4 linked regions of the Schizosaccharomyces pombe genome follow. The gene in region 4 interacts genetically with the main gene of each other region. Each region holds a gene or a part of one and is shown on either strand. Other genes may lie near its edges.

Region 1 (5,094 bases), on a different chromosome or scaffold from region 4:
AATAACTCGAAGTCTTTTGACTCAGTAGAAAACTGGAGGCAAGAATTTTTATATCAAACTTCACAAGATGAATGTGCATTCCCTTTCATTATCGTTGGAAATCAAATCGACAAAGACGCGTCTAAACGAGCCGTATCTCTTCATCGAGCTCTTGACTATTGCAAATCCAAACATGGATCAAATATGATTCATTTTGAAGCTAGTGCAAAAGAAAATACAAACGTTACTGACCTTTTCGAAACAGTCAGTCGTTTAGCTTTAGAAAATGAAAGCTCGAGAGATGACTTTGTTAATGACTTCTCTGAACCTTTGCTTCTTTCAAAGCCTTTGAATAATACATCTTCTTGTAATTGCTAGATATTCACACGCTCTCTCAGATTCTTTTACATTTCAAAATGTGCTATACGTTTTCTTTTCATAATATTTTTTTACATTGCTATTTTAACAAAACTATGGTTACTTTCTGTTCTTAATTCTTCTCTTTTCCCTCTATTGATACACGTTTTTTTTTAGGTGTAAATAGTCTTTTAATTATGACCTCAGTTAATAAACTTTTATGAATTATCTATATGCTGTATTCATATGCAAAAATATGTATATTTAAATTTGATCGATTAGGTAAATAAGAAGCTTAAAAGCCTTCTTCTCCCCATTCATCCTCCATCGGTGTACAATTTGTAATATTGTTGAGTGGAGCAGAAAAAATGTTGGTAGTGGGGGACGGTGATGATGGAATTGTCTTTACGGGTGATGCTCTTATGGGGGATATCTTCATAGGAGAAAAAGGAAGGTTCTGCGAGCTGTTTTCAATGTCCATCTCGGGTGTTTGTTCTTTCAGATTAGTTCTTTGCAATTTTTCCGACATAATATTTAAAGCGTGTTCATTAACTACACGCTGCTTTGGAGGACTTAATGGGACGTTCTTAGATGAAGCCTTTGAATACGTTTCATGAGGAGTTCGAGAGTAATTTGGGTGCGGTGACTTGGATTCAAAATGTGTATTGCGAGATACAGAATTTGGAAACTTGTTAAAAGGGGTATTGGAATTTCCAGAAACGGGTGAAGAAGACATATTGCTGTCACTACCATTTGCCCCTTGTCTTATCATGTTCGCGCTTCGAGACCGACTAGCACTGTTTAATCTAGCGTTTATATCAATTCGATTAGCAGTGGGGTGTCTTCTATTGGCGGTACTGGTTGCTGATGGCGGTTCTGCACTAATGGAACGACTTGGATTTTGAGTGTTTTTTACTCTAGGAAGCGGTGTCCTTGGACTCGTCATAGCTCGAGAAGCGGACCTAACACTTGGTGTTGAAGGTACAGCTACACGCCCTCGTTGAGAAGGTGTTCTATTAACAGAGTCCGTTGTAGTTGCTGTTTTCGGGCGGTTTGCGGCAGCACTTGCACTTCTATATAATGATTTTGGTTGAGTGGCCTCTTGGCAAATCTTGAGAAGTGGTTCATCATAAAAAAGGAACGTCCTTCCATTTCTTTCTTCCCATGCTGTAATCTCTGGTATAAGCAGCGACTGAACCTTAGGAAGTTCTCTAGAAAGTCGCTTACGGATTTTCTCTTCACGTAGAAGTAAACCTGGGTCCCGGCGTCCCCGTTGTGTTAGACGAGAGGCATCATTAGAACTAGCTTCAAGCTCTTTCTTTCCTTCTATTAAAGAGGCATAGCGATTAATTAAGCTTAAAAAGGACTTATTAGCAGAAACTTCGGCCTCTAGTTGCTTTATATAGTTTTCATGGGCCGTAAGAACCTGCTCTGTAATAATGTCTTCATACATAGGTGTAAAGGACTTTCTTTGTTCTTCTGAATAAAACAGAGAATCCCAAAGCTGAAGAATTTGTTGACGACAGTCTTCTAAAAAAATGGGTAAATGCTCCTTTTTTAACTGATGAAGTTTTTCAAGTTCAGTTTCCCATAATGAAATATTTTCTTGATTAATGTTTGATGAATCGCCAAATTGACTTTGTTCATTGGGAGAAACTTGAAGCTTATTCCACAAGTTGCTAACTTCTGATTGTATACTTTTTAAATGATCACTTCTCTTTTCTTTTTCAGCGGAAAAAACTTCTTTTTGCTTGCAAAGTTGGTCGATAAGTTCTTGAGTAACATAAACATCATTTGGTCGATTAGTATGGGATTCAAGCAATTGTTCGTATTGTGGAACATCAGCGGGCTCAACACCGAGTTCAGACCACAAACCCAAAATTTCTTCTTCAAAGGAATTAATAACCTCTAATCTCGCATCAATCTCCTTTTCGGCTTCGTTGATGCGTCCTCTCAAAGATTCAGTAAAAGCATCGGATACATCAGATAAAAATGAATTCTCAAAATCAGGTAAAACGAACGGACTTCCTAAGCGGTTACAATATGACTCCAATTTGTGATACATTTCTATACATCAGTTAAAACACAAGTCTAAATTAAAGACGATTACATACCTTTAATCGTACTTAACTTTTGATCATACTGTGCCATATATTGTCCTTCTACCATTGACAAACGATTCAAACACTGAATTAAAGGAGACTCAATTTTGAGACTAGAAGTATCATCCGTTAACTTTAATGAGGAAACCAAAAATCTGATTGAATCAATTCTTTGCTGACAGTCATCTTCAAGTTTTTTCTGGCACTGTTCCATTTCATGAAGCTGGGCATTCATTGCCGTTGTAAACAACTCAAATAATGATGAATTGTCTCCATCTGTTCCAAGGACTTGGTGAAGCCTTTCAATTTTAGAAAAATGCTTTTCCACTTGTTCACGAAACGCTTTCCAAGTAAAGTTAGATTCATTATTAGAGTGATTATCTTTTTCAGCAATAGAATCAGTGCTTTGAATGTCATCCATCATTACTGTTTGCATTGAACCGGTTGATGTAAATGAGCTCAATAAAACGATGTTTGAAATTCAATTAATAGAATATAAAGGAAGATATGAAAACTGTTAAGATGTTGATATATTATAACATAACAAGCAGTACAAGGAATTAACCTTGCATAAAAGCTTGGCACAAAAATGGTGGTTGGATATGGCTTGGCCTGCGAAAGTAACTCAGCATGCGCTTATATTCCAAAGAAAGCAAATAGATTTCAATGTCAGCACTGTATAAACGTTATTCAGCTCCTTTTAGTATAAACAAAATACTTAGAATTGTAAGTTGAAGAATATTTATGTGCCTGAAATATACCAATGTAAGGAAGCACATAAAGTTCTACAAACTGGTATCTTTTGCTCTACCTAAAATATGATACAAGAAAATTCAAATACTGCTTAAAAGGATACAAAGGCTTACTTTTTAAGTCTTATCGTAATCAATATAATTAGACTTATGCATACAAAATATCATCTAAGAGAGAAAAGCATTCATGATTTGTTCAATTCTTTTATTTGCTCATATTCAAAGACAGGATCTAGGACTATGGGAGAATTATTTTATGTAATATTAACCGCAATTGGGATTCAACCCAGTATCGCGAAACCCATTTCCTTTAAAAAAAAAATCATATACAACAAAAAGAAACAATTGTGAGTCGATTGTCCATAAAGACAGTAGGGATAAAAAAGTATTGGGTGAGAAAAAAATGAAAATAAATATAACCAGCTTGGAAGAATGCAAATGTATATAAGTCATGCGTTAAATTTTTACAATTCAACATGCAAAGGGCTAGTGGAGAAGGTAACGGCAGGCTTTGGGAGGTAAATTAACTGGGCTCGGCCAGCAGTGTTTGCTGATAGCTTTCCAGCTCGTCGCATTTGAGCTTCTAAAACAAATACTCGGAAAAAATTAGGATTTAATCGAGGACGTCTGATTTCAGGTTTCACACTTCGCTTTTCCCAGGGTTGAAGCGGGGTGTACAAAGTGAAATTGGCATCTGGCGCACAATCCTCCATCAACCAATCATCCTGAAAAAGCTTGAAATTTTGACAAAGCAAACCATTTGTCAGGTTGCTTTCGCCATGCGAAGATGAGAGATTTAAAATGGAGGCACTTGGATCCAAATGCACTTCTGGCTTGTGAAATACACGTCTGATGATATTACGAGATAGCGACATTATTTTATGCTGTAAAGAAGCTCGAGACTTATTTAAAGATGCTAAAGATGTTTTTTTGGACAACCTAGATGAGTAGAAATTAGATGATAAACTAGAGCCACTCCTATTGCAGGCGGTCAAGTTAGAGGAAGCATCCTTTGATTGTTCCAAAAAAGAGGATTGCTCCTCAAGACTTTTAGAAAGTGGATGGTTATGCTCTACGGGCTCCATAACTATGATATTGTTAGCAACGATGAATAAATAAAAGATAAGAGAAAAGGTTGAAAAATCTTAAAAGAACATACATTGACCTCTTAAACGAGGAACAGATTTGGATTTTTTTAAGTTGTTAATATTCAAGTAAATATCAAGGCTATTTGCGTTTACGAGGTTACAAGAGGAAGAGCTGGGAGTTGCAGGATTTGGCCCCGAATAGTAAGAGTAAGAAGCGACTGAAGACGTTTCCGAAGCAGAGTAGGAGGAGTATTCAGGGAATGAATTACACGAAAAATTCCACAAACAGTCGTAAGAATGAGAGTTGGTAGAAGCAGAACACTCGACAGGTGTAGAAAGAAGAAAGCAGTAATCACCTCTATTAACATCATCATTGTGTAATTTTTTGGACGAAGACAAAAAACGATCTAATTGTGATTTAAGAGTTTTTTTATTAGATAGAGTACTCAAGCGATGTGAAATTTTTCTATAACGATTGGGAACAGGGATCTTGGTTTCACTCAGCAACTGAAAAACGGCGTCTTGCTTTGATGCACAAGAATGGGTATCCTGAGACTGATAAATTAAATCCATCTCACTAGCTTGAGAGCTGCAAAGATTATGATCCCAACATTCGCATTGACAAGTTACCGGAGCTACTTCTGTGAGTGCTTTAGAGAAGCCAATTTCCAATGGTCTTAATTCCATCCGAGTCATCATAGAAAGAAATGTAAAAAGAAAGAAAATATAGCGCCTATATATAAAGCCAATTGATCAAATCCTACCGGTTTCTAATTGCAAAGCAGTTCATAAAGTGAATTAGAAGCTACAATGTTG
Region 2 (4,036 bases), on a different chromosome or scaffold from region 4:
CTTCATATTTCTCGGGATAAAAAGCTAACTACTATCTCGAAAGATGCTCGTTCAGCTGTTATGGCTTTTCTAGAAATGGACATTAAGAAGAGGTTGGGTCACTCCAGCAAGAAACTTCAAACACATCCATTTTTTTGCTCTATCTCTTTGGAGACCGTTTCCAAGGGCAACCTGACTCCTATTTTCCGTCCGAAATCTGGAAAAGTATATGTTGACCCAATTTTAGATTTGGAGGCTACTTTTTAAACTAATGATTCAATGTTTACAAAACTAATTAATATATATGATTATTCAAAGATTCTCTCAGCTACGATTTGTCTTTCGGTTCATGTGTTACATAGTATTGCTATTTTTTTACTATTTTTTTTTGCTTGCCTGATAGTCTCGTCTCTTATTTTCCCTGGAAAAATTTTGACTGCGTTTCCACTTAAACTATTTCAAACTTCATTATTTATAACTTTGAATTTCTGAACTATTCTAATCGAGCGATACGAAATTACACGAATTAATTAATATGACATTTATATCACCAAACACCTGTTATCCGTAGTTTTCTGCAAGTAATAATCCAAACAAAGGGAATTCTTTAATAAAATGTACACTAAACTCCTAACAGACATTAAACTTTTGTTTTTTATATCCACGCATATAAATGTTATATCAGCATCCATAATACACTTTTTCGATATCCAATCTACCGACTACGGGTTCAGCAACACTTTCTAGAAATGCTGTAACAATGGTAACCTTTGGGAAAATATAAGCCAGCGCTTTAATACTTTCAGAGTAACAAACATAGACCACAATTATAATGTTTTCCTCTGGGACCCCGAAATCCACTAAAATTTGCGTGGCCATTAAGACATCTGCATGTGTAGTTAAATGTGAAGCCATCAAAACAACATTCATGGTAGCAATGCCACGGGGCAATTTATGGTAATGTAAAGTTGGTTCTTGAGTAACTTTATTGATTTGCACCAAAATCTTACCCAAACACACTGTTGGAAATTGACGACATAAAGCTGTTTCAAGAGTTCCGCCGGATCGCAAAACTGAAACACCACAAAGCTCTTTTGCCATTTGTAGACCTTCCCACTGGTTTCCGTTATGCAAAGTAATCGTTTTCTTTTCATATGCAAGCGAATCACCTGCCAAATTCATCAACATGGTGCCAATTCTGCTCAAAAAAAATTGTAAATCATCAGGGTGTGTATTTTTGTTTATAAGAATAGTCCTGATGGCAGATATTTCAGGCGTAATTTTAAGCTGAACTAAATTTAAGGGTAAATGGGGAATGGTTGGTACAATTTGCTGTAAACTATCAATGTTCTTAACATGAGTTTCACTTTGTATAGAAAGTGTTCTACGAATAAAATTAATCACCATATCAATTGCCAATTTATTGTCCCGGCCACGAGGAACGATAAGATCAGTGTAAGATAGTTGACGCCTAACGAAGTTCTCATAACTTGGCTTGACAAATTTATTATATTGTTCCAAAACGCCAACTATGTCCCTTCCTCGATAGTTGATATCGCGATTCAGTCGACGAGAGAGACACACGTCCGAATCTGTATCTAGAAAGACCGAGACGTCAAGGAGAGAGCGAATCTTTTCATCGTATAAAGCAAAAATCCCTTCGAGAATAATGATACTTGCTCCGAATAACGTGTTGGTCTCAGGAAGCCGATTATGCTCATTGAAGCTATATATAGGAATGTCAACTTTACGGCCTTGTTTAAGTTCTAGCAGTTTTACGAAGAGCAAGTCCCAATCAATGGCTTCGGGGGAATCAAAGTCATAGTCGTTGTTAAATGCTCTCTTCTTCTGCTCTGCATTCAAAGATTTGTAAAACGAGTCAAGGGATAAAATAACAACATGTGGAAGATTTAACGCCTTTACAATCAATTGGGCCACCGAGGTTTTCCCACTACCCGATGGTCCTGCAATTCCAATAAATCGCACTTTACGCCATGGGGGTTCATAAGTTGGGTTGCTTGAATAACGCTCAAAAGCTTCAGGCATAATAACGAAAGAAATAAAATAAATAAGAAGCCCAAAAAAAAGGTATGCTAGCCTCCAAGGAAATATTACTAAAGAAAGTTTAAAAAAAAAAAAACTGTAGAGCAAAAAAAGACTAATTGGTGAACCTAACGTTTTTTAAAAGGTAAATTCTGTCTTGGCGTGAAACGAAAATATTCCACAATTTGTAGAGCCAAAGATATTTATTCAAACAGAATTAATTCAAGTAGAATGATAATGGTTTCCTTATCTTACTCTTCTCAAACTTGCTTAGTTTTTTCTATAAATCACAAATCTCGAGTTAGCAATACCATTAGAAAAATATATATATGTATACGAACCCAAAGGAAGGAAAAATGTTAGGAAATTTTAACATAAATAGAAAGATTTTCGAAATGTCTTTTTAAATAACTAGTAAACTAGTTGAAACAATAAATTGGAGAAGGGTAAATCCAATATCATTGTTTTTTCATCCTTTGGTAACATTATCACTGTGACTTTTTCAGTCAGCGCCTGAGCCGCGGTAATCATCGGGAATAAAGAAAGAGCAGTTTGTTTGTAGAACGGAAGTGAGAAGTTTTTTTGCAATACCTATTACTAAATTAATGAATTATATGTAGATTTAAAAGAAATCCGGCAATTAATATTCGAAATTAATCAATTTTGACTATGTGAAAATTGTAACATTCGTGACATGTTGGAAGCTTGTACCAAAATTTGATATTTAATTTAACTTTAAAAATGTATTTAATAAAAATAGGCGACAATAAGGAAATTTAACATATTGGCTCAAATTCAAAAACGCAAGAGAAATCTTGCTTTGTTTATATAAATAACTAAATCAACACGACTAATACTTAATACGCATTTCTTAGAAAAACAGATTCAAATTATTTTTTACCTTCCAAAAATGATGAAATAAAAAGAACAGCTAGGTTGAGATCGTCTCAAAGTTCAATAAATGATTTTGCCGCTCGAAGATTTAGATTGTAGCTTTGCCATTTTTTTTAAACCTAAGAGAACTGACAAAAAGGAATATGAAAGTTTCTTTTGTGCAGAAGAACCAAGTAAATGGACATAAGTTTATGGCAGGTTTTATGATATTGAGAACTCGTCGCTTTTGTTCGTAATAGGCAATTAATTTCAAATTAGAAAATAGTATAAAGGATATTCAGTTTGACCCATCAAGTAGAGTAATCCGCTATTAATGGTGTGAAAAAGTAGAAAAATTTGAAAAAAGCGTACATTTTCGAATAGAAACCCATTTACATGCTTACTTAGCACACGCAAAATCCTTAAATTTCTCTTCCCTATATCGAGAGAAGTGAAAATATAGAATAGTGAATGCATCAAACGCAAAGATTTGAAGCCGGTGCAATGTTAAACATATTTGACGGCTAATCGTCACAAAAAAATGACATTGATGACCTCGAATTGCGCAAATTTTGACTTCATATTTAAAACTCGAAACTCATGAATATTAAGCCTAGATAATTTGTTCGCATAATTTCTTCTCAATCCCACAAATTAATTATCCATGTATCGATAGCAATGGAATCAATTGATTTATTAAATTAAAGTAGATATCTTCCCCTCCTCATTTGATTAGAAAAAAATCCTTGAATTTCACATCACATTTACTCGAAAAGTTTTATCATAAACTTGCTGTAGAATTGAAACTGTAACTGCAATTTAAACCAAATAAAACGCTTTTTAAAATAAACAAAAGAGTACCACATGACTAAATTCCTCATCTTCCTTTTACCAACGTTTGTTGTAATATATTACCCATGCCTTTAGTAATGATAAATTGCACTTATTGAGCTAGAAAATAGTGAATTGAAATAAATCTAATATTTTAACAAACGATATCACGCTATAGCCGTTTTATAATATTTGCCATCTTTTGTTCGTTTCACATTGACACACCTCCATCCTCTCTTTCCTTTCACCTATCTTGGCGAACGAATTCTTAACCTGCTAATTTATTCACTTCAGGAGTAGGAATTGACAA
Region 3 (5,933 bases), on a different chromosome or scaffold from region 4:
ACAGCTCTTAAATGTAGTAAATCCGTTTTATTACCAACAAGCATGATAACGATGTTGCTGTCTGCATGCTCACGAAGCTCCTTTAACCAGCGGCCCACATTATCGAATGAAGATTGTTTTGTGATATCGTAAACAATCAGAGCACCAACAGCACCACGGTAATAAGCTGAGGTAATGGCCCGATAACGTTCCTGACCGGCAGTATCCCAGATCTGTGCTTTAATTTTTTTGTTGTCAAGAACAATATTTCTAGTAGCAAATTCAACACCAATAGTACTCTTGCTTTCGATATTAAATTCATTCCTAGTGAAACGCATAAGTAGGTTTGACTTTCCAACACCACTATCCCCAATCAGCACAGTCTTGAACAAATAATCGTATTCGTCCTCTTGACACATGGCTAAGTTCTCTATCGGTAAATCTACGAACAATTTTTGTTAACAAATATTTAAGGTCAAATAATATCAAGGTATATACCTGTAAATTACAATGAACCCTGCTTTCGATAGTCGAAGAATTTACTTAGTCGTAGTTTGTTGTAGGTAAGTTGCAGAGGGATATCAGAAAACCTAAGGAAGTAATAATCCTTTATCATGGTAACAAAAAAAAGTCCACTAGTGCCACTGGCCGTTAAAATGCATATAACGCATTCCAATGATTCATTAAATAATTATACTGCGTTACAAAGAATGTCGTAATCATGAGAAGGCTGGTGTCGTTTAGTGATTGCTATCATCAAAATCATTATGCTGTTGTTCACTATAAAGCGCTATTTTGTAAACATTTTAAAATGCCTTTGATATAAAGAAGCGCAAGTACTCAATTGAATGCAAGTACTATCAATTATATGAATGACCGATTGAACCCAATCGCAAAACTGGATATGGACGGGTTGGTATGGGTTTTTACAGTGCGATTAGTCAGTACTATACCCATTTTAGTCCTGCATCAAACAATGATGTAGAAATTCTTTGAAAGCAATGTTTTGATTTCCAAGTTACAAAGTTATCTAGCCAAAGAAAGAATATTTTAAGTTCCGGTTTTTTCAGCAGCTTTTTCTCACTTTTATAATGGTCACAATGATCGAAATTAAAAATTTGAAAGAATAAAATTGGCGGCTCAATTGAAATCTTTTTCTTTATGCAAAAGTTATACAATGTTGGATGCTGCTCATGGCATGCAGGCATCCTTCATGCAGAAAGTTACTTGAGTAATCCATCGAATAATTATCGTTGGCAAATCTTGGGTTAACAAGAAACAAAAAAATCCTGCACATAAACAGTTTTTCTTATTAAGTTCATTTCATGGAAAACGAATAACATAGTTCCGTAATAATATAAGTAAATGGATCCCTTGGTTAACCTCTATATAAAATTAATGCAAGCAATTATCAAAAGAGGTCGTGTGGTTTAGATGGTTATAATTTCTGCTTAACATGCTAGTTCGCAGACGGTCCCAAGTTCGAGTCTTGGCACGATCATTTTTTTCTATCGTAGTAATTATTTACTTTTCTTATTGTACTACCAGTTTTGGAATGATATGTTGTGTTGAATTCGTTTATATAGAGTTAACACATTTAGAGGTATTATGTATAAACGCATCGTTTAATAAATTGCAGCGCTCAAAATCTACTCATTGTAGCTTTTTGAAAACAAAATTCATTATTTGTTTAAAGTTTTTCTAACTTACACAACCACCCAGAAAATAAAATTAGAAGTTCAGGAGGAATGAGAAAATTTTAAACATTTATCAATTTACCAACAAAGTTTTTTGACTACTAGTACCTCATGTATGCAACTAGTAACACTAGTGGTTAGTGAGTATTTTCTCAAAGTACATATGTCTCCATAGGTGTCTTCAAATCTGCAACCTCAACCTCACACACTTGATTAATGCAATAAAACTCCAAACCCAATCGAAAACTTATTTTTTTGTATATTTAACGGTTTGCGTTGGTGACACGACGGTAAAATCACGCGGATTTTGTTTGATTCCAAAATTCGAGTGCATAAGCCATCTTGCTTATTGCAGCGAGACTTCGAAATTCTAACATCTAAAAGCTTCATTACTGGAATTATCTGTTGTTATTCTTGTGTTCCATTGGTAAAAAAATCACAAGCAAAAGGGAAATATTTGAGCCATTTTAGAGGTTATACTCTGCCCTTCATGCAACTATAAAAGTAGTTGAAAGGGAAGAACTTTGGCTAATAGTTTTGTCAAGGAATCTATTCAATCTTGCTTAATTCCGTTTTTTTTTTAAATTCATATCTTTATCCTTTTATATATTTTTTTGTTGTAATACTTCAATCTCTCTTAGCGACACGTAGGTGAGCAAAAAACCCGCTACCTTGAAATGGTATCTGTTAAACCACTTCCTGATATTGACTCGAATGAAGGTGAGACAGACGCGGATGTTTATGAGGTGGAAGATATCCTTGCTGACCGCGTAAATAAAAATGGCATAAACGAATATTATATAAAATGGGCTGGCTATGATTGGTATGATAATACTTGGGAACCTGAACAAAATTTATTCGGTGCGGAAAAAGTGCTTAAAAAATGGAAAAAACGGAAAAAGTTAATTGCTAAAGGCTTGCTTGAACCTTTCGATGCGGAAGATAATGAGGCAAAGAAAATGAAGAGAGAAAAGGAGATATTGAGGCAACAAAGACAAAAGCGCAAATCCGAGCTTACCCAATTATCTCAAAAAGTCAAAGAAAAATTCAAAAAGATGCGTAAGAAGCCTGCCCGAAGGATTGTAACCATCGCAAATGATGAAGAGGAAGAGGACGATCAGACAATGGATGAGGATGCGTTTGAGAGAAAAAGTATGCAAGGGGAATTGAAGGAGAGGAATTTGACCGATAAAACTAGCACGCTATCCACATCGTTTGGTGAAACTAGCCCTGATGTTAATCCTTTCTACTTATCAGAGTGGCCTACAGTTACCGACAGTATTTTATTGTCCAAAAGCCTCTCCAGCGATGCAATACCTTTGAAAAATGGCGAAATTAAAAGCACAATGTTGATGCCCAGTGACTCTGACAACTCAGTTCCCGGAATTCAAAATTCGAACAATCTTGAAAATACTGGCGCTTTTGTTGAAAATGCGAATTCACCACAATCTAACACCCCCTTGTCAACCTTTAGGCATTCAAGCCCTTTAAGTCTGTCGCCAGTAATAACTTCCGATAATGATGTTGCCAATTCATTATTTTTTAGCAATTCGACTCCTCTTCCTTCCTCTTTGAAGATAAAAAAGGAAGCACCGAAATTAGAAACGCATACGATATTAGTTAGTGATAATTCTGGTTCTTTAACGAAGCAAGATATTTTATCGTACTTTGCTTTTATCAAAGGAAATATTGAGGTCTTTTTTCTCAAATCACCAAAGAAAGACAAAGTTTGTAATATGGCCTACATTCAATTCGATTCTATCGAACAAGCCAAACTTGCGTATGATAAAGGGCATCCAAGTTGGCATGTAACTTTAGTAAAAGGGAAGATATCAACTGATATGGAAGAATGTAAAGTCTCAAAGTCTATTTTAAAAACAACCCCTTCAAAGAAAGCAAATGCAAGGTCCGTTTCTTTTACACAAACAACAACAGATACCCTTTCTGAGTCGGAAAAATTTGCTAGCAATGTCGATCTGGACGAAAATTTCGATTTCAACGTAAACGTGACGAATGAAGATGCTAAGCAGCTTAAGAAAAGTGTTATCGGAAGTAGTTGGACTACTGTTAATAACGACTGGAACAGTGTTTCTAAAAGCGATCAAACTTTTGAAAATGATGGAGCTAGCAAAGTAGTTCCGGCTGGTAATATTACTTTAAATTCGGATAACTCTCTTCACCATTCGATAAGCGAATCCGAAGATCTTTCTTCAGCAAGCACATTGTCTGATTATTTTAGATTCGTTTTGCGAGTCGGAAAATCTCTCTACTATGCTGGAGAATTGTCATTTGATATATCCAAGCTTAAGGCGGAAACTGAACATCAACAGTTGTTACGAAGTTTAGTCAGTTGCAAGCAAGTAGATGTTTTACGTTTTGTTACTTCACAATATCTCGAGGTATTTGGTACTTGCTTGACTAAAGTTCTTTCCGGAAGTCTTTGTATTCGAAGCGATGTTGATATGACTCACTTTAAAAATATACTAAACCGCGGCAACGGTGCTGGCATCGTTCTGGGTAGTAACTATACATTATTATTATTTACAGAGGATAATAATGCTTTAATGAATTTATACGATTGTCAAGGCCAAAGCAATAGCCCTTTTTGGATGGTGATTTTTGAACCTTTAGAATCAATCCTAGTCGAATGGTCGGCAAAAAATCTAAGGCCTAAAAAGCCATATCATAAATCCCAATCTTACTTGTCTTATTTACTACAATTAGGCCACATCGATTTACATAAAATAGGCGCTTTTCAAGCTACACAAATTTTAATTGTCTCTAAACAGCCTTCTCCGGAGGCAGAAGAATTGGAGGATACTTTTAGAGAAGCTGCTATTCCGACATTTCGAGGACTCGAGATTCCGGAATCTTTGTTTTTATCACAGAATGTTTTTGTTTTCCTGAATGTCTCACTAGAGGATGATTTTGATCAACTGCAATTTTTAACACTGGCGAAAAGGAAAAGTTGTAAATTTTTCTTATTTGGTTTGTCACTCCCTCTCAAAAGTCCTAATGATTCACACGTGGGTACGGACTTTAAGAAAAACAATGAACCCCTTGATAAGTTGACATATTCACAGTACTTAAGACCGATGTTTCCTAAGGGTGGGGTGGTATCTGTTACACTCTCAGCACTTATAAAAACACCACGGCTTTTGGAACTCATTAGTCCATTTCTTGAGATTAAAAAAGATTCATGGATTTTAATTCTACCCCCATCAATTGTGGATATGGTCAAGAGCTATTTTGTAACAAACAATCCAGACAAAAGTCTCTTGGAAATTCAAAACTTATTGAATACACTCCAGCGCTACCTGACCAACCCAGCGCTGAAGAACGTGACTTTGTATCAGGATTGGGATATTGTGATCGATGATAGCGCTGATGTATCTTTAGCCAGCACTCTACAATTGTACCAGAAAAAAAATTATGATAAATATAGAAGGTTCGTATTGATTCACGAGCTTAAAAATGAATTGACGCCAGTTAATGGCCTTGACATTGTTGACTATGATGAGTTCAAAGAGACTTTTATGAGAGCTATTGGTTTAAAATAGTCGTTTTATTTATTTTGGGATACGGCGGACAATGGGATATATAGACTGACATTTTTTCTTATTACGAATGGATAGGAATACTTAAAATTAAACTCAAAGACTTATACTAGAAAATAACAGTCTACTCTTTAGAAATTAGACGATTAATTAATTAATTAATTTTTTCACTATATAATAACCGTATGTTTCAACATTGTTAGTTGTTTTTGCGCACCTCCTTAAAATCTAGGATCTCTTGGAAAAACATGTGATCCAATACCAACCGGCTAATATCTGTGTGTGTGTATTTAAACTAAACAACATGTTTGGTACTCGTTTTTTTGCTTATCAATTTTGCAAGAATTGGTTATCGAAACGACCAGGATTGGTCTTTTGGAGCTCAGTAGCAACAATAAATGCCATGTATCAAACTCGCCCTCTATACTGTGAGAGTGTCACCAAGACAATTCAACAAACATACGAAGGATTAGTTCAAAAAAGAATTAATAATGAGGATGAACTATTTTTGTTAGGTTCAGGACCGCGATATGTTTCTTTTCTAAGTATTCATGTGTATGATATCGAATTGTATATTCAGAAGAAAGATGTTCAAACCGTTCACACTATATTGCAAAAGGAGGTAGATCCGAAATTAGGGCTAGAAATGAGTATGAAAGACGAAGAAATTGGAAGTCGGATCGTGGCAGCGCTATTGAAA
Region 4 (3,997 bases):
GTCATCTGCATGAGATAGTTCTTTTAACTTGCTGATCGAAAATTCTATGTCATTAACTTATTTATCACACCAATTTATATCTTACTATTTTTATTTAAACCCTTCACGAGACCGTTTTCTCTTAAAGAGCCTTTTCTCTGCATTTTCAAGTTGCTTGATTTGGGCATGTTGATTGTTTACGTTTCAGAAAAATATATGCCCGCCTTAAGATTTGCCTGTAAACAGAAGCACAATTTTCAAATAAACAATATAGAAAAAAGACAAATAATAAAAATAATTCTTTAAATTCTAAAACTGCTTGTTTTTTTTTAAGTTGATTATTACGATAATTAATTTTAAGAATTTCGTAAACAAACAGCTGTTTGTAGACTTATTTAGCGATAATCAGATAATGGCTCTTTTATTATCAATATGTTTTTTTTTACTTTTAATAGAGTTTTTCGGAATGTTCTCGTTTATATTTACTCAAACTCAAAATTCCATAATTTAAACATCCTTAACTAGTATCGATCAAGGAAGCGCTATTCTCTTTTCTCTTAATGCTCATACACATACAAACAGCTCTTTCTAAAAAATTGTATATTGATTATATCTCCTTTATCACCCAACAATCCAAATCATCCAAAAGTCCTATATCCAAAGTGTTTGTAACACTTAACTAAAAAAAAATTTCCTAACTCAAATACAAAATGATACCCTGATTTTTTTTGAAACCTAAGAAAAAGATAGGCGATAAAAAGAGTTAATAGAATACATAGTTTAATCCGCGATCTTCTTAAACACGGGAGTTAAAGTATGTTCATCTTCAACATGAAAATTTAGTGAACGCGAACAAGCTTGACTTCAAAAACTAAGGTAGAATTCTTGGGAATTCCTGGAATGCTCTGGTTGCCGTAAGCCATGGGAGCAGGAATTGTAATCTTACGCTCACCGCCTTCTTGCATTCCAGCAACGCCGACGTCCCACCCGCGAATAACCTCACCACGACCAAGGATAAAAGCAAAGGGTTTACCTTTAGTGTTTTTGTCAAAAACCTTTCCATTTTCGAGCTTCCCAATATATCTCATTTCAACTTTTTTCCCATTGGTAGCAGACGCACCGCTCCCAGTTTTAACATCAGTTACAACCACGCCTCCTTTTAAAGTACGAGTCTTGGGACTAGAAGGTGCATTAGAAGAAGCTTGTTGCTTTTCTTTCTTAGCAGCGGGACCAGTAGGTCCTTGTTCAAGTTTTTCGGCAAATGCAACCTTCTTTTCCTTAACAGGGGTACCCTCAACCTTTTGCTTCTTGGTATTGTTTTTCTTAGGAGAAGCAGCCTCTTCTTGCTCGGATTCATCCTTAGTACGTTTTTTTTTAACCTGTGCCTTTTTAGCAGGAGCTGAATCCAATTCATCCTCCTCAGATGCTGAATTATCTTCCGACTCAGATTCCTCTTCACTTTCCTCATCACCGCTGACAGTCTCGACAAGATCCTCCTCAGTAGGAGACAAATCGTAATCCTCGTCAGATTCTTCCTCTTCCTCATCTTCTTCGTCAACCAAAAAGTTACCAGACAAGTGGATGGTTGCATCGCCAGATGCACTGAAGAAGACTTCGTCGCCAGGAGTAATGGTCAAATTTAAAGGCTGTTGGTATAAGGAACCAGGCTTCAAAGTACATAAAACAAATTCACGCTGGCTTTCTTCCAGAAGCTCTTGCATTTGTTCGTCAAGTTCTTCGTCATCTTCATCTTCAACGGGGATACGGGGACGAACCTTCACCAATAAAGTAGTTGGTTTATTAGACTTTTCGCCGGCATCAATGGATGCCATAGTCAAATGAATAGATGCATCTGTAGATTCCTCCACAGCGGGAACATCTTTTCCCTTTACCGAAAGACTATAAACAGCAATTGGAAGAGACATGACTTATTCTTGCCTAAGAGGTGAGGTGGTAGAGGATGTAAAAAATTTTGATACATAAACCGTTGTGTATTCCATTAAGTAAGGGTAGTGCGTATTACCGCGATTTGCAAATTATACTCAAAATTAATTAAATTTGGACGAGCGTGCATCACAACAAACGCGTAGTAATTATTTTTGATATTTCGTTGTTTTTTACTTTGAAATAGTTTGGCTTCACGAGTTTTGGGATAAGGTTAAATAATGAAAGAAAAAAGCTCTTGCAGTTAGTTTTTCTTTATAAACATTGTTTGTTTATTAATTACACTTTTTCCGCTTAAGTGGCTACATTATTATTTGTATTATTTTCCTTTCAGAAACATATTAATACTTATATTTACTGAAAGTGAGAAGCGCGCTGGATGGCTTTTAATCAAAGGAAGCGTCGACGCCCAGTAGGGATTGCAGACTTTGACGAAGCAAACGATGAGGCATACGAAAGTGTTGGGTTCCACGACTATGCAGATTATTTTTCCCGGAAACAAAGAAAGCTTCAAAATCAAAATGCCGCTCTATACAAAAGTATTGATGAAGATTCTAAATCTGATCTCTTTCATGGACTTGCAATAGCGATTAATGGATATACAAAGCCGTCTTATACCGAATTACGGCAAATGATAGTTTCAAATGGAGGTACTTTTATACAATATGTTGATGGAAAAACAAGCATATCATATTTGGTGTGTTCATTTCTCACTCCTTCCAAAGCTCGCCAATGGAAGCATCAGAAAGTGGTTAAACCAGAATGGATAGTGGATTGCATCAAACAGAAGAAAATTCTTCCGTGGATAAATTATCGTACCTTTCAAGCTTCATCGGCTCAAGCTACCCTTTCTTTTGTCGCCTCTAAACCTAGCCAACCCGAAGGTAACTTAGAAGATATTCAAACAAGCTCGCAGGAAGAAGAACATGATAATGAAAAAGATAAAACAAAAGAGAGTAAAGCAAAGGGATTTTTAGATGATTTGAGTGGATTATCAGCGTCTTCACTGCACAACTATCAATTGTTAAAAAATCCCAATGTCCGAAATTCAACCACTCAAAATCAAGATTTTCTTGAGAATTTCTTTAGCTCCTCTCGTTTACATCACTTAAGTACTTGGAAAGCTGATTTTAAAAATGAAATCCAAGCAATGACTACTGCTTCTGAACCTGTTCGTCCAATTATGAAAGATAAATCAAAAAAATCTCGTTTCCTTCTTCATGTTGATTTTGATTGCTTTTTTGCTTCCGTTTCAACACGCTTTTCTCATGAGCTACGACTGAAGCCCGTTGCTGTTGCTCATGGTATAAAAAATTCCGAAATAGCTAGTTGTAATTATGAGGCTCGGAAGTTTGGCATAAAAAATGGTATGTACGTTGGAACAGCTAAAAACCTGTGTCCTTCATTACGGGTTGTTGATTATGATTTTGGAGCATACGAATCTGTTTCTAGAGAATTTTACACTATCCTTGTTAATACACTTCACGACTATATTAAGGTTATAAGTATAGACGAGGCTCTTCTAGATATAACTTCTAGTGTTTCATCTTTTCAAGATTGCTTTGAGATTGCCGAGTCTATCCGCTCGCAGGTTCGCGAGAAAACCAATTGCGAAGTTAGCGTTGGTATTGGCCCAAATGTTCTCTTAGCAAGACTTGCACTTAGGAAGGCGAAGCCTCACAACGTTTATTCTTTGTCAATAGAAAATGTTTTTGATGTATTGAGTCCTTTGTCTGTTCAAGATTTACCAGGGGTGGGCTCTTCACAAGCGCAGAAACTTTTTAATTTGTACGGTGTGCGTACTATTGGGCAGCTGCAAAGAATTGAAAAATTCAATCTTCAAGAGACTTTTGGGGTAAATTACGGTCTGCATTTATACAATATTTCCAGAGGAATTGATACCGATATAATCAATAATGAAACCCCACGGAGGTCCATATCCGTAGATGTTAATTGGGGTGTTCGTTTCGTTTTTCAAGAGGATGGGATAGATTTCTTAAAACGGTTGCTTCATGAGTTGCTTTCCAGAATGGGTAAATGCCAAGTGCTTTTGCATCAAATTCAGCTTCGGATT

What was found.
Region 1: mutations in ani1 (region 4) and ase1 together harm fitness more than expected from each alone (negative genetic interaction), as found in Schizosaccharomyces pombe (2 studies listed by BioGRID).
Region 2: mutations in ani1 (region 4) and urk1 together harm fitness less than expected from each alone (positive genetic interaction), as found in Schizosaccharomyces pombe (2 studies listed by BioGRID).
Region 3: mutations in ani1 (region 4) and chp1 together harm fitness more than expected from each alone (negative genetic interaction), as found in Schizosaccharomyces pombe (2 studies listed by BioGRID).

Annotation. Positions count from the first base shown.
Region 1 is NC_003424.3:1,876,142-1,881,235, reverse strand, and holds ase1 (antiparallel microtubule cross-linking factor Ase1), read right to left. Parts: upstream 3,048-5,094; 5' UTR 2,875-3,047; coding exon 2,451-2,874; exon of another isoform or gene 2,404-2,450; coding exon 632-2,403; 3' UTR 510-631; downstream 1-509. Other genes in the region: GTPase Ypt71, read left to right, coding at 1-357; SPOM_SPAPB1A10.08 (uncharacterized protein), read right to left, coding at 3,655-4,277, 4,350-4,977. UniProt on the Schizosaccharomyces pombe protein: Required for anaphase spindle elongation and microtubule bundling in both interphase and mitosis. Has a role in spatial and temporal regulation of septation and cytokinesis and ensures equal partition of segregating sister chromatids.
Region 2 is NC_003421.2:1,554,434-1,558,469, reverse strand, and holds urk1 (uridine kinase/uracil phosphoribosyltransferase), read right to left. Parts: upstream 2,472-4,036; 5' UTR 2,364-2,471; intron 2,303-2,363; 5' UTR 2,026-2,302; coding exon 661-2,025; 3' UTR 557-660; downstream 1-556. Other genes in the region: serine/threonine protein kinase Ppk33, read left to right, coding at 1-246.
Region 3 is NC_003424.3:2,210,280-2,216,212, reverse strand, and holds chp1 (heterochromatin (HP1) family chromodomain protein Chp1), read left to right. Parts: upstream 1-1,867; 5' UTR 1,868-2,353; coding exon 2,354-5,236; 3' UTR 5,237-5,403; downstream 5,404-5,933. Other genes in the region: Rab11 family GTPase Ypt3, read right to left, coding at 1-398; aim18 (chalcone related protein), read left to right, coding at 5,538-5,933. UniProt on the Schizosaccharomyces pombe protein: Component of the kinetochore which plays a role in stabilizing microtubules and so allowing accurate chromosome segregation. Has a role in the RNA interference (RNAi) pathway which is important for heterochromatin formation and accurate chromosome segregation.
Region 4 is NC_003423.3:4,062,464-4,066,460, reverse strand, and holds ani1 (FKBP-type peptidyl-prolyl cis-trans isomerase), read right to left. Parts: upstream 1,942-3,997; 5' UTR 1,905-1,941; coding exon 819-1,904; 3' UTR 501-818; downstream 1-500. Other genes in the region: sporulation specific PIL domain protein Meu14, read right to left, coding at 1-44, 86-167; deoxycytidyl transferase Rev1, read left to right, coding at 2,303-3,997. UniProt on the Schizosaccharomyces pombe protein: PPIase that acts as a histone chaperone. Histone proline isomerase that increases the rate of cis-trans isomerization at prolines on the histone H3 N-terminal tail. Proline isomerization influences H3 methylation thereby regulating gene expression.